Arabidopsis thaliana: one gene and its partner. The protein of the gene in region 1 interacts with the protein of each later gene in a pairwise test. Each region holds a gene or a part of one and is shown in the gene's direction. Other genes may lie near its edges.

Region 1 (6,001 bases):
GTATGAAAGGCAAATCTAAACATAAGACACATTTTATGTTATGTATTACTAAATTACTACAAAAAAAACTCCTACAACTCCAAAATACACAATGGTTTAGATTTAGATATACATGTTTTTAGAACTAAAATTATTGAGGTATTTTATAATAGTACTCCAAGTTATAATTTCTGTTACGAGGCGAGAATAAACGTGGGAGAGGAAGGAAAAAAAGGTGCCGTGCGGTGCAACTAGATTTTACATATTTGTACACATATTTCACGATTGAATCTTTCAAGACATTATATGCTTTATCAAATTTTATATATATAACAATTAGATAAGAAACACAATCTGACCCGACTCTACTATTTATAATTATACGTATGAATCTCTAACTTCGTTACTAAAACGGCAAATACTAAACCCTGAAAGGAAACTGTGTGAGAAACAGTTAGGCCCCTTGACCATCTTTGTTCAACGTTGTCAACGAAAAAAAAATGGAACCATAAAGGATAATTAATTGTATCACAAAAAGACAAACACAAATTATTGAATATACCATCACTTATCAGTATATAATTTTATACAAATGCTTTAAATAACAAATATTATGTAGAAAAAGAGAAAAGAAACTTAACTTGGTCAATTTGATCATTTGTGTAAACGATGATGCGGAACATATGCGATAATAATGTTATTGGATGGCAAAAAAAAAAAAAAGTATTTTAGTTGGGCCCTAATGTTAATTCACAATCAAGCCTAAATTTGGTTAATGGGCCAATCTTTCTTATATATGTAGGACTCGGATGTTCGGTCTACTCGAACTATCTACAAACCAAGCTAAACCGAAAGTAAATACAAAATCAAACCAAATAATAGTTTGGTTTATATAGGTTTTAAATTTTAATCCATATAATCCAATAAGTTCCAACTCATAACCAGGAAAATAAAAAAAATGTGGAATGAAGAAGTTCAAATTGATAACCAAATGAATTGCTTTCATATGATGGTGACGTGATGTTTTTGTACCGGACTCAATTATTGGAACGAGTGGTTCATTGTGCATTATTTGCATTTTCTTTTGTTCGTAATATACTAACATATCTAAAAAATTATTGTATCATTATTACTAGTCATGCAATAAATCATCAACTCACACTGTCTGCCACACTTTTTTAATTTTTCTGCGTATTTTGGCATTATCATATGAAAGAAAATAAGAGAAACAAATAAAGGAAAGAAGAAAAATAAAAACATTATCACATTCTGTGAAATCTCTGAGTTTATCAGGAAGGATATGTGGGGTTCATATTCATACCGTTCCCTTTACTCACATCGTCACATGGAAAGATCAACTATTTCAATTATCTATTTATTTATTATCATATACTTTAAATAATCAAATTTAGAACCGTTACAAACAAAAATAAACAGCTACATCAAATTTAAACAAAAGTAAGTATATGCGAATATTATCATAGATTTAAACAAAATTTGACCAAGATATAACAATCATCATTTAACTACCAACATTTGATATATGTATTTATTGTTCTTAGGTAGTTTCCAACTTCTAACTAAAGACAAAAAAAAAAGTTATATTTAGAGAATATTTCTACATGAAAAGAATACAACTATATCAAATAATATGATAACAGTCAACTTTGAACATCAGTAGAATGGAATGAATCACTGAAAGATATACTCATATACACATAAAGATTAAGGACATCAAATCACATCCCTTACAAATAAAACCATATCCACATAAATTTAAAACCCCAAAATTTTCATAAAATCCATATACTTAAACAGGAGTTTCTGTATATAGTTACCACACAAGAACAAAATTATGGAATTTTTTTATATGAATGAAGAATGAACGTTACGAACGTACACAAGTACAAATAACACGGGACTGACGCGGAACAGAGCAAAATAATGATTTTTGACATTACGTGGCATACGGGACCCACAATACGCGCGTGACTCCCAGTCGCGCCTATTAAATCTCTCGCTCGTCCACTTTCTCTCGTCAGCCTTAAAACCAGGCAGCCACTAGAAGAAGGAGAGATATTGAGGGAGAAGAATCACATTGATAGATTCGCCGCCGATCTAGAGCCGTTGATTTTCTTAATCGGAAAAAGAAAATGAGTGGAAGCAGAAGGAAGGCGACGCCGGCGAGTAGGACGCGAGTAGGGAATTACGAGATGGGACGAACTCTCGGAGAAGGAAGCTTCGCTAAGGTGAAATACGCCAAGAACACCGTCACCGGAGATCAAGCCGCTATCAAAATCCTCGACCGAGAAAAGGTCTTCCGTCACAAAATGGTCGAACAGGTTCGTTAATTGTGTTTGGTTTGATCACGTAAAATGATTATGGATTTGTTTGTTTTTAAGTACTATAAAGAACAGTTTAATTTCGTGATTAGGGACCCACATGTCCTCCTAGGTTGGTGTTCGGTTATTAAGGTTAATGTTTGATTAAAGTGTTAACAATAATATTTTAAAATATCGAATTTTGTATGAATGTTTTTGTTTCTGTATATATCTACACGATGCTGATCTTAGTACGCATTGATCAAGATAACTATTAACTATGATATGGATATGGTTTTGAAGTTCGAGTAGCTTTGTTTTTGATTTGGTTCGATTTGAATCTGTTGAAGATTTAGTTTTGTATGCTATATATGTATGATTGGAAGTTATGAGCAAGATCTCGAAGATATAATGATCATAAAGTTTTATTTTTTTGTTGTTGTGCAGCTTAAAAGAGAAATATCTACAATGAAACTGATTAAACATCCAAATGTGGTTGAAATCATTGAGGTACGAAACTAATTAGTTATCATTCCTTAGATATTTTTTAAATTAAGTTTTGAATCTTAGCGTGTAAAACATCTCTCTGTGGTAGGTTATGGCGAGCAAAACGAAGATCTATATCGTTCTTGAGCTTGTCAATGGAGGTGAACTCTTTGATAAAATCGTAAGTAACCTAACTTAGAGAATCTTCCTCTCTTTTCTCTTCACAAATATTGACATATGTTCTCTGTCTTTCTCTCTTCTTACTCTTATGTTAATTCTTGGATTTAAATCATATACATAGGCGCAACAAGGGAGGCTTAAGGAGGATGAAGCTCGGAGATATTTTCAGCAGCTCATCAATGCTGTGGATTACTGCCACAGTCGAGGTGTCTACCACAGAGATCTCAAGGTCTTTCTTTTGTTTTTGTGCACTCTTCTTGTTTCCTGTGATTACGATATTCATTCTTCTTAGTTCTTATTCAAGTTTCTTTTGTTATCATCTGTTCCTTGTTGCAGCCTGAAAATCTGATCCTTGACGCAAATGGGGTTTTGAAAGTCTCTGATTTTGGGTTAAGCGCCTTCTCACGACAAGTTCGGGTAATGCCATTATATTTTTCACTTGGCAATTAATTTCTGATATATATAACCAAGATATCAATTTGAATGAAGTGTTCTAAGCATTGTTCTTTTGAATGCAGGAAGATGGTTTGCTTCATACAGCTTGTGGAACGCCAAACTACGTTGCCCCTGAGGTATTATGTACTAACTTTCAGCACTTAAAAAGGCAAAGAATATGAAATGTTCTGTAGATCCTCTTTGGAAAATAAGATTTTAAGGAATTCAAGAACTGCTAATACGTTTTTAAAAAGGAAGGAAATCTAACAAATGCTATACGTATATATAGACTTCATTTGCAGAATCTTCTTTATTTATGATGTATATAAGAGATATGCCTTTAATGTTGTCTACTGCATTGTGTTGGATTTGCTGGCAGGTTTTGTCGGACAAAGGCTATGACGGTGCAGCAGCAGATGTCTGGTCTTGTGGTGTCATTCTCTTTGTGCTTATGGCTGGTTACTTGCCTTTTGATGAGCCGAATCTCATGACATTATACAAACGTGTACGTGTAAATTATCTCTCCCTCTGCTTCTTGATCTTCTGCAGTACTTTTCTAGTCTCATCTTTGGTGTTTAATATATACTTTAGATATGCAAGGCTGAGTTTAGCTGCCCACCATGGTTCTCGCAAGGTGCCAAGAGAGTCATCAAGCGTATTCTCGAACCCAACCCTATTACCGTAAGTGCCTCTTACATGAAGTAATAGTTGTGAAAATGTGAACATGACATGCTGCCAACCATAGATTGTGCAAGAGCTTAAGTATGTACTTATTTCTGAAATGCAGAGAATAAGTATTGCAGAGTTGCTCGAAGATGAATGGTTCAAGAAAGGGTACAAGCCGCCATCATTTGACCAAGATGACGAGGACATAACCATAGATGATGTTGATGCTGCTTTTAGTAACTCCAAGGTAAACACCGCCATTTCCAAATTCTCCATCTGGTTGTGTATATCATAGTTCGGTTTAAGTAAACCAATGTATTGTTACCAACTAATATCACTCTTTTTGTGCTGCTACTCTAGGAATGTCTTGTAACTGAGAAGAAGGAGAAACCTGTATCCATGAACGCTTTCGAACTTATCTCTAGCTCAAGCGAGTTCAGTCTTGAAAACTTGTTCGAGAAGCAAGCGGTAAGAACTTTTTTCTACTTACAGTTTGTCTTGATTTTCTAAAATCATGCATAGGTTTTATCTAACTAAATCTGATTTGTTGTTGTTTGCAGCAACTTGTGAAGAAAGAAACGCGGTTTACTTCTCAACGATCTGCGAGTGAAATAATGTCGAAAATGGAAGAAACCGCAAAGCCATTAGGCTTTAATGTCCGTAAAGACAACTACAAGGTCTGTTCTTCTTCTTCTTCTTCTTCTTGATTTTGTTTGTGTCAACTAATGTCTTTGTAGCTTCGTTAAACATTGTTTAAGTAAACTTCGCAGATAAAAATGAAAGGAGACAAAAGTGGTCGTAAAGGTCAGCTCTCCGTAGCTACAGAGGTAAGAAAGAAAAAAATACTCCGGTTCAGTTCGGTTTTTGGATTTTGATGAATATCGTTATCTAATTGTTATGGTTTGGTAATCGGTTTAATAGGTGTTTGAAGTGGCGCCATCATTGCATGTGGTAGAGCTTAGGAAAACCGGTGGTGATACCCTCGAGTTTCACAAGGTATGTGATTCGGTTTGATCTTCATCAAAAACCGGTTCGGTTTTGATCCGGTTAACATCTCTAGTTTAGTGTTTAAATTGGTTTTATGTTTGAATCTCTTTTGCAGTTCTACAAAAACTTCTCATCTGGATTAAAGGATGTAGTCTGGAATACTGATGCAGCCGCTGAAGAACAAAAGCAATAAGAAATAACAAGTTGTTCAATTCAAAGTTTTTAATCAATGTTGAACATGTATAATGAATAGTAAACATTCTGGAGTTGGCAATATACAAGTATTGCTGACAAAAGAGCCAAACTAGAACTAGAAGTGGTCTATAGAGGTAGATCACCATAGGTTAGTCAATAGCCACATATGTGATCATCCTCAAACTCGGTTTGAAACCTATAAATCAAAGTTCAAACAATTCAATTAGGCAAAAAATACTCTGCAAGCTGGCTATTTGAGTATAGTTGAAAGTTGCAACGATGTTGTCGCTTTATGGCAACGCGTTACAATGACACAACATATATAACAATTTGGAAAACACAATGATAGAATTATTAAAGAGAGGTTATCTTAGCTACATAGATCTACGTTTGCAACCAAAAAAAAAAAGTTTTATTTTGATGTACAGTCACACATTGATGACGGAGTGGTTTCTAGTGAGGAGTTGGTGTTGAGCAGACCAACGTTAATTGCCCAATAAGTTGTGTGAGTTGTCTAATCTTTCAAATCAAACAGCCCGTAAAGCCCATAAAGTCGCAAATTTCGCATTCCAAAGTTTTTAAGAATGGAGAAACGTTCAGATTCAGAGAGTGTAGAGATTTTGGGTGATTGGGATTCACCTCCTCCGGAAGAAAGAATCGTAATGGTTTCTGTTCCCACTTCACCAGAATCTGATTACGCGAGATCGAATCAACCGAAAGAGATCGAATCTAGGGTTTCAGACAAGGAAACA
Region 2 (3,630 bases), on another chromosome or scaffold:
TATGTATGATTCAAAGGCTTGCCATTACTCTAGTTGATGCTCTCTGTTAAGAGGAATGCAAATCTTTCTTTCTGTGTTTTGATCATTGACTCGTTTGGGTGCAGTTAGCGTGAGTGAAATAGAGGCTCTCTATGAGCTGTTTAAGAAAATCAGCAGTGCTGTGATTGATGATGGGCTAATAAACAAGGTATGAAGGAAGGGCATCATTATATGTCTTTTATGCCACTCACTTATACTCCTCACGAATCATGCATATTGCTACGTCTTTTGGACATCCTTTTCTGATTTTCCTTGACCTGTCTTGTCGTTCAGGAAGAATTTCAGTTAGCCTTGTTCAAGACAAATAAAAAAGAGAGCTTGTTTGCAGACCGGGTATGTTCTTCTTTTTTAATCAAAAGACTTTGTTATCCATTTGCCAAGATCCTTTTTGAAAGATAACTTGACAGTACCAATCACAGGTATTCGATTTGTTTGACACAAAGCATAATGGAATACTGGGGTTTGAGGAGTTTGCGCGTGCTCTCTCTGTCTTTCATCCAAATGCTCCCATAGAAGACAAGATTGACTGTACGTCTTTGATCTTACAAAGTTGATCTGAGAAACCATCTATACAATTTATCTGATGTTGACATGCTACATGTAACCCATGAAATATCACTAACAGTTACCGGGAACATTGTTTTGCAGTTTCGTTTCAGCTATATGATCTTAAGCAGCAAGGTTTCATAGAGAGGCAAGAGGTGAAGCAAATGGTGGTGGCTACTCTTGCTGAGTCCGGCATGAACCTGTCAGACGAAATCATAGAGAGTATAATCGACAAGGTGTGGTTCCTTCCTACCCTGCTCGATACTATATTCTTGTTCCACTGTTGTATAGCCAACTCATGATAGCAGTTGAGAATAAAGTAAAGAGTGGTTTCTAAGTTTCTTCTTTCACAGACATTTGAGGAAGCTGATACAAAACATGACGGGAGGATCGATAAGGAAGAGTGGAGAACCCTTGTTCTCAGGCATCCTTCCCTTCTAAAGAATATGACTCTCCAGTATCTTAAGTGAGTTCCTAAACCAAGACTTATCCGAGGTTTAGGCAATGCAACTTCCAATTTTTTCTGTGTTATTATTAACACCGATCTCTGATATTGTGTGCAGGGATATAACAACTACATTTCCGAGCTTTGTGTTCCACTCGCAGGTGGAAGATACCTGAGAAAAACAATAGCATATTAGCAGAGGAGACAATTTGGGAATTGTGTTTGTTTTCTGATTATGTATCATGTCTATTTGTTTCAATCTCTCTGAACATTTTCAAGATTTTGTTGTTACTTGTGTGAATTAAAAGTAAAGAAAACAAATCTGTATTTTTGCTACTCCTGATTTTGATTGCTGATTTTCTCCTCGCATCTGTAGATATACTACTAACCTTGAGACATGAATCCTATTAATAAAGAGCAAACTGATGAAGTGATAATAGAGAGCAAAAAAGAGAGAACCCAACACCAAATGATCGGGTATGCTCTAGTCTGAATTCTGAAGTCAAAATTGAAATCACCGATTTGATCGAACCGGATGCAACATTACAACAATCGGATTTGTTAGTCTTGTGGTTGACTTTGTCAGTTAGAGTTGACAAAGTAATTAGCAAAGTTAGTGACGATTGTGTTCTGCATAAACACGTTTACTTTGAGGAATAAATTACTTACTCTTTCGGTCTTTCCTAATATATATGTTTTCCCTGTCTCAAAGATCTGAATAGGTATCAGAGCGCGTTGACAATCTCTTTTTTTGATCATCGATTTGTTCTCTCTTTCTTGGCTAAAAAGTTTCTATCTACACGACTCTCCATGGATTCAACAAGAAATTCAGCTTCTTCCAACTCCACGGGATGCTTTACGGATCAGAAAAAGCGAAAGGCACTCTATGAGGTGTTTAAGAAACTCAGCGGTGTTGATTGCCAAAGAAACGAGGTTCGTATAAATTATATGTAACTTTCTTGCTAAGTACGCATATGATATAAATCTGTGTTTCTTCGTTCAGGGTAACGTTGTAGAAGGCGTAACGTGTTATTATGGTGAAATGAACAAGGTATTTGGAATTATATATAAATATATATGTCTTTCTTGCCACGCACTCCTTCTTTTCAACAAGTCTTACAGATTTTCCATAACGTGTCCTGTTGTATTTCTGTTGTATCAGGAACAGTTTCATGTAGCCATATTCCAGACTGACAAAAATGAGAGCTTGTTTTCAGAGAGGGTATTTTATTTTTGTTCTCAACAAAAAAAGTCTTTGTAATCCATTTGCAAACAATGACATTACCCTATCACACAGGTCTTCGATTTGTTCGACACAAATCATGATGGATTACTTGGGTTTGAGGAGTTTGCCCGAGCTCTCTCTGTCTTTCATCCATCTGCTCCTATAGATGATAAAATTGACCGTACGTCTCTGATCTCAAAAACTAGACCCGATATATTAACCATCTACAAACAAACTGTTCACATGCTACCTATATATATTCCATGAAAGCTTATTAACGGTTACCTGGAACATTATTTGGCAGTTTCGTTTCAGCTATATGATCTTAAGCAGCAAGGTTTTATCGAAAGGCAGGGGGTGAAACAACTGGTGGTGGCTACTCTTGCTGCGTCCGGCATGAGCCAGTCAGACGAAATCGTAGAGAGTATAATCGACAAGGTGTGTTTTCCTTCCTTCTATTTTTTGGTTCGACTCTAGTCTATAGTATAGCCAACTAAGTTTAAGCAGCTGATGAATATGAAGTGAAGAGTGATTTTTGAGTTTATGAGGCAGACATTTGTGCAAGCTGACACAAAACATGAAGGGATGATCGATGAGGAAGAGTGGATGGACCTAGTTTTTAGACATCCTCTTCTTCTGAAGAACATGACTCTCCAGTATCTCAAGTGAGCTCCTAAACCAAAGACTAACCCGAGGTTTAGCCAATGCAACTTCAAATTTTTCTGCATCACGTATTATTAACACCATGATATCTGATATTGTGTGCAGGGATATCACAACTACATTTCCGAGCTTTGTGTTACACTCGCAAGTGGAAGATACCTGAGAAAAACAATAGCATATTAGCAGAGGAGACTGTTTGGGAATTGTGTTTGTTTTCTGATTATGTATCATGTTTATTTGTTTTCAATCTCTCTCAACATTTTCAAGATTTTGTTGTTCCTTTGTGTGGAAAAAAAACAAATCCGTTGATGATTTTCTCCTCGCATCTGTAGATCTACTACTAATCTTGAGACATGTAAAAGCAAACTGCTAGAGCATTGAAAGGGCAAACTGCTAGAAAAAAAAGAGAGAAGAACTCAACACCAATGATCGGCTATGCTCTAATCTGAATTCTCAAGTCAAAATTGAAATCGCCGGTTTGATCGAACCGGATGTATTTAACAAAATAAACAAAATAAACAAAAAAAGAAGGAAAAATAGATCCTCACGCGTTACCGTAGCGCGTATTTTTTTCACAACAAAATTCATAAGCAGTGTGGGTCCCACAGGTCCACTAAGTTTAGTGGTGGGTTGCTCCGTAGCTAATCTCATCTCTCACTCTTTTTCTTATCCACTATCCATAGAAGAAGAAGAAGAAGACTGTTGACGACGA

Evidence for each region. Proteins that work in one complex are often made in the same cells at the same time.
Region 2: the proteins of CIPK9 (region 1) and CBL7 interact in a two-hybrid assay, tested with the Arabidopsis thaliana proteins (one study listed by BioGRID).

Annotation. Positions count from the first base shown.
Region 1 is NC_003070.9:63,644-69,644, reverse strand, and holds CIPK9 (CBL-interacting protein kinase 9), read left to right. Parts: upstream 1-2,019; 5' UTR 2,020-2,132; coding exon 2,133-2,321; intron 2,322-2,747; coding exon 2,748-2,810; intron 2,811-2,895; coding exon 2,896-2,967; intron 2,968-3,087; coding exon 3,088-3,195; intron 3,196-3,302; coding exon 3,303-3,383; intron 3,384-3,484; coding exon 3,485-3,538; intron 3,539-3,780; coding exon 3,781-3,906; coding exon of another isoform or gene 3,907-3,912; intron 3,913-3,992; coding exon 3,993-4,082; intron 4,083-4,188; coding exon 4,189-4,314; intron 4,315-4,427; coding exon 4,428-4,535; intron 4,536-4,627; coding exon 4,628-4,744; intron 4,745-4,837; coding exon 4,838-4,894; intron 4,895-4,988; coding exon 4,989-5,075; intron 5,076-5,169; coding exon 5,170-5,247; 3' UTR 5,248-5,478; downstream 5,479-6,001. Other genes in the region: AT1G01130 (CBL-interacting Serine/Threonine-kinase), read left to right, coding at 5,834-6,001. UniProt on the Arabidopsis thaliana protein: CIPK serine-threonine protein kinases interact with CBL proteins. Binding of a CBL protein to the regulatory NAF domain of CIPK protein lead to the activation of the kinase in a calcium-dependent manner. Involved in K(+) homeostasis under low-K(+) stress.
Region 2 is NC_003075.7:13,406,184-13,409,813, reverse strand, and holds CBL7 (calcineurin B-like protein 7), read left to right. Parts: upstream 1-1,726; 5' UTR 1,727-1,840; coding exon 1,841-1,963; intron 1,964-2,033; coding exon 2,034-2,081; intron 2,082-2,192; coding exon 2,193-2,252; intron 2,253-2,327; coding exon 2,328-2,436; intron 2,437-2,559; coding exon 2,560-2,693; intron 2,694-2,807; coding exon 2,808-2,920; intron 2,921-3,023; coding exon 3,024-3,081; downstream 3,082-3,630. Other genes in the region: CBL3 (calcineurin B-like 3), read left to right, coding at 105-187, 313-372, 447-567, 688-821, 939-1,051, 1,149-1,206. UniProt on the Arabidopsis thaliana protein: Acts as a calcium sensor. CBL proteins interact with CIPK serine-threonine protein kinases. Binding of a CBL protein to the regulatory NAF domain of a CIPK protein lead to the activation of the kinase in a calcium-dependent manner.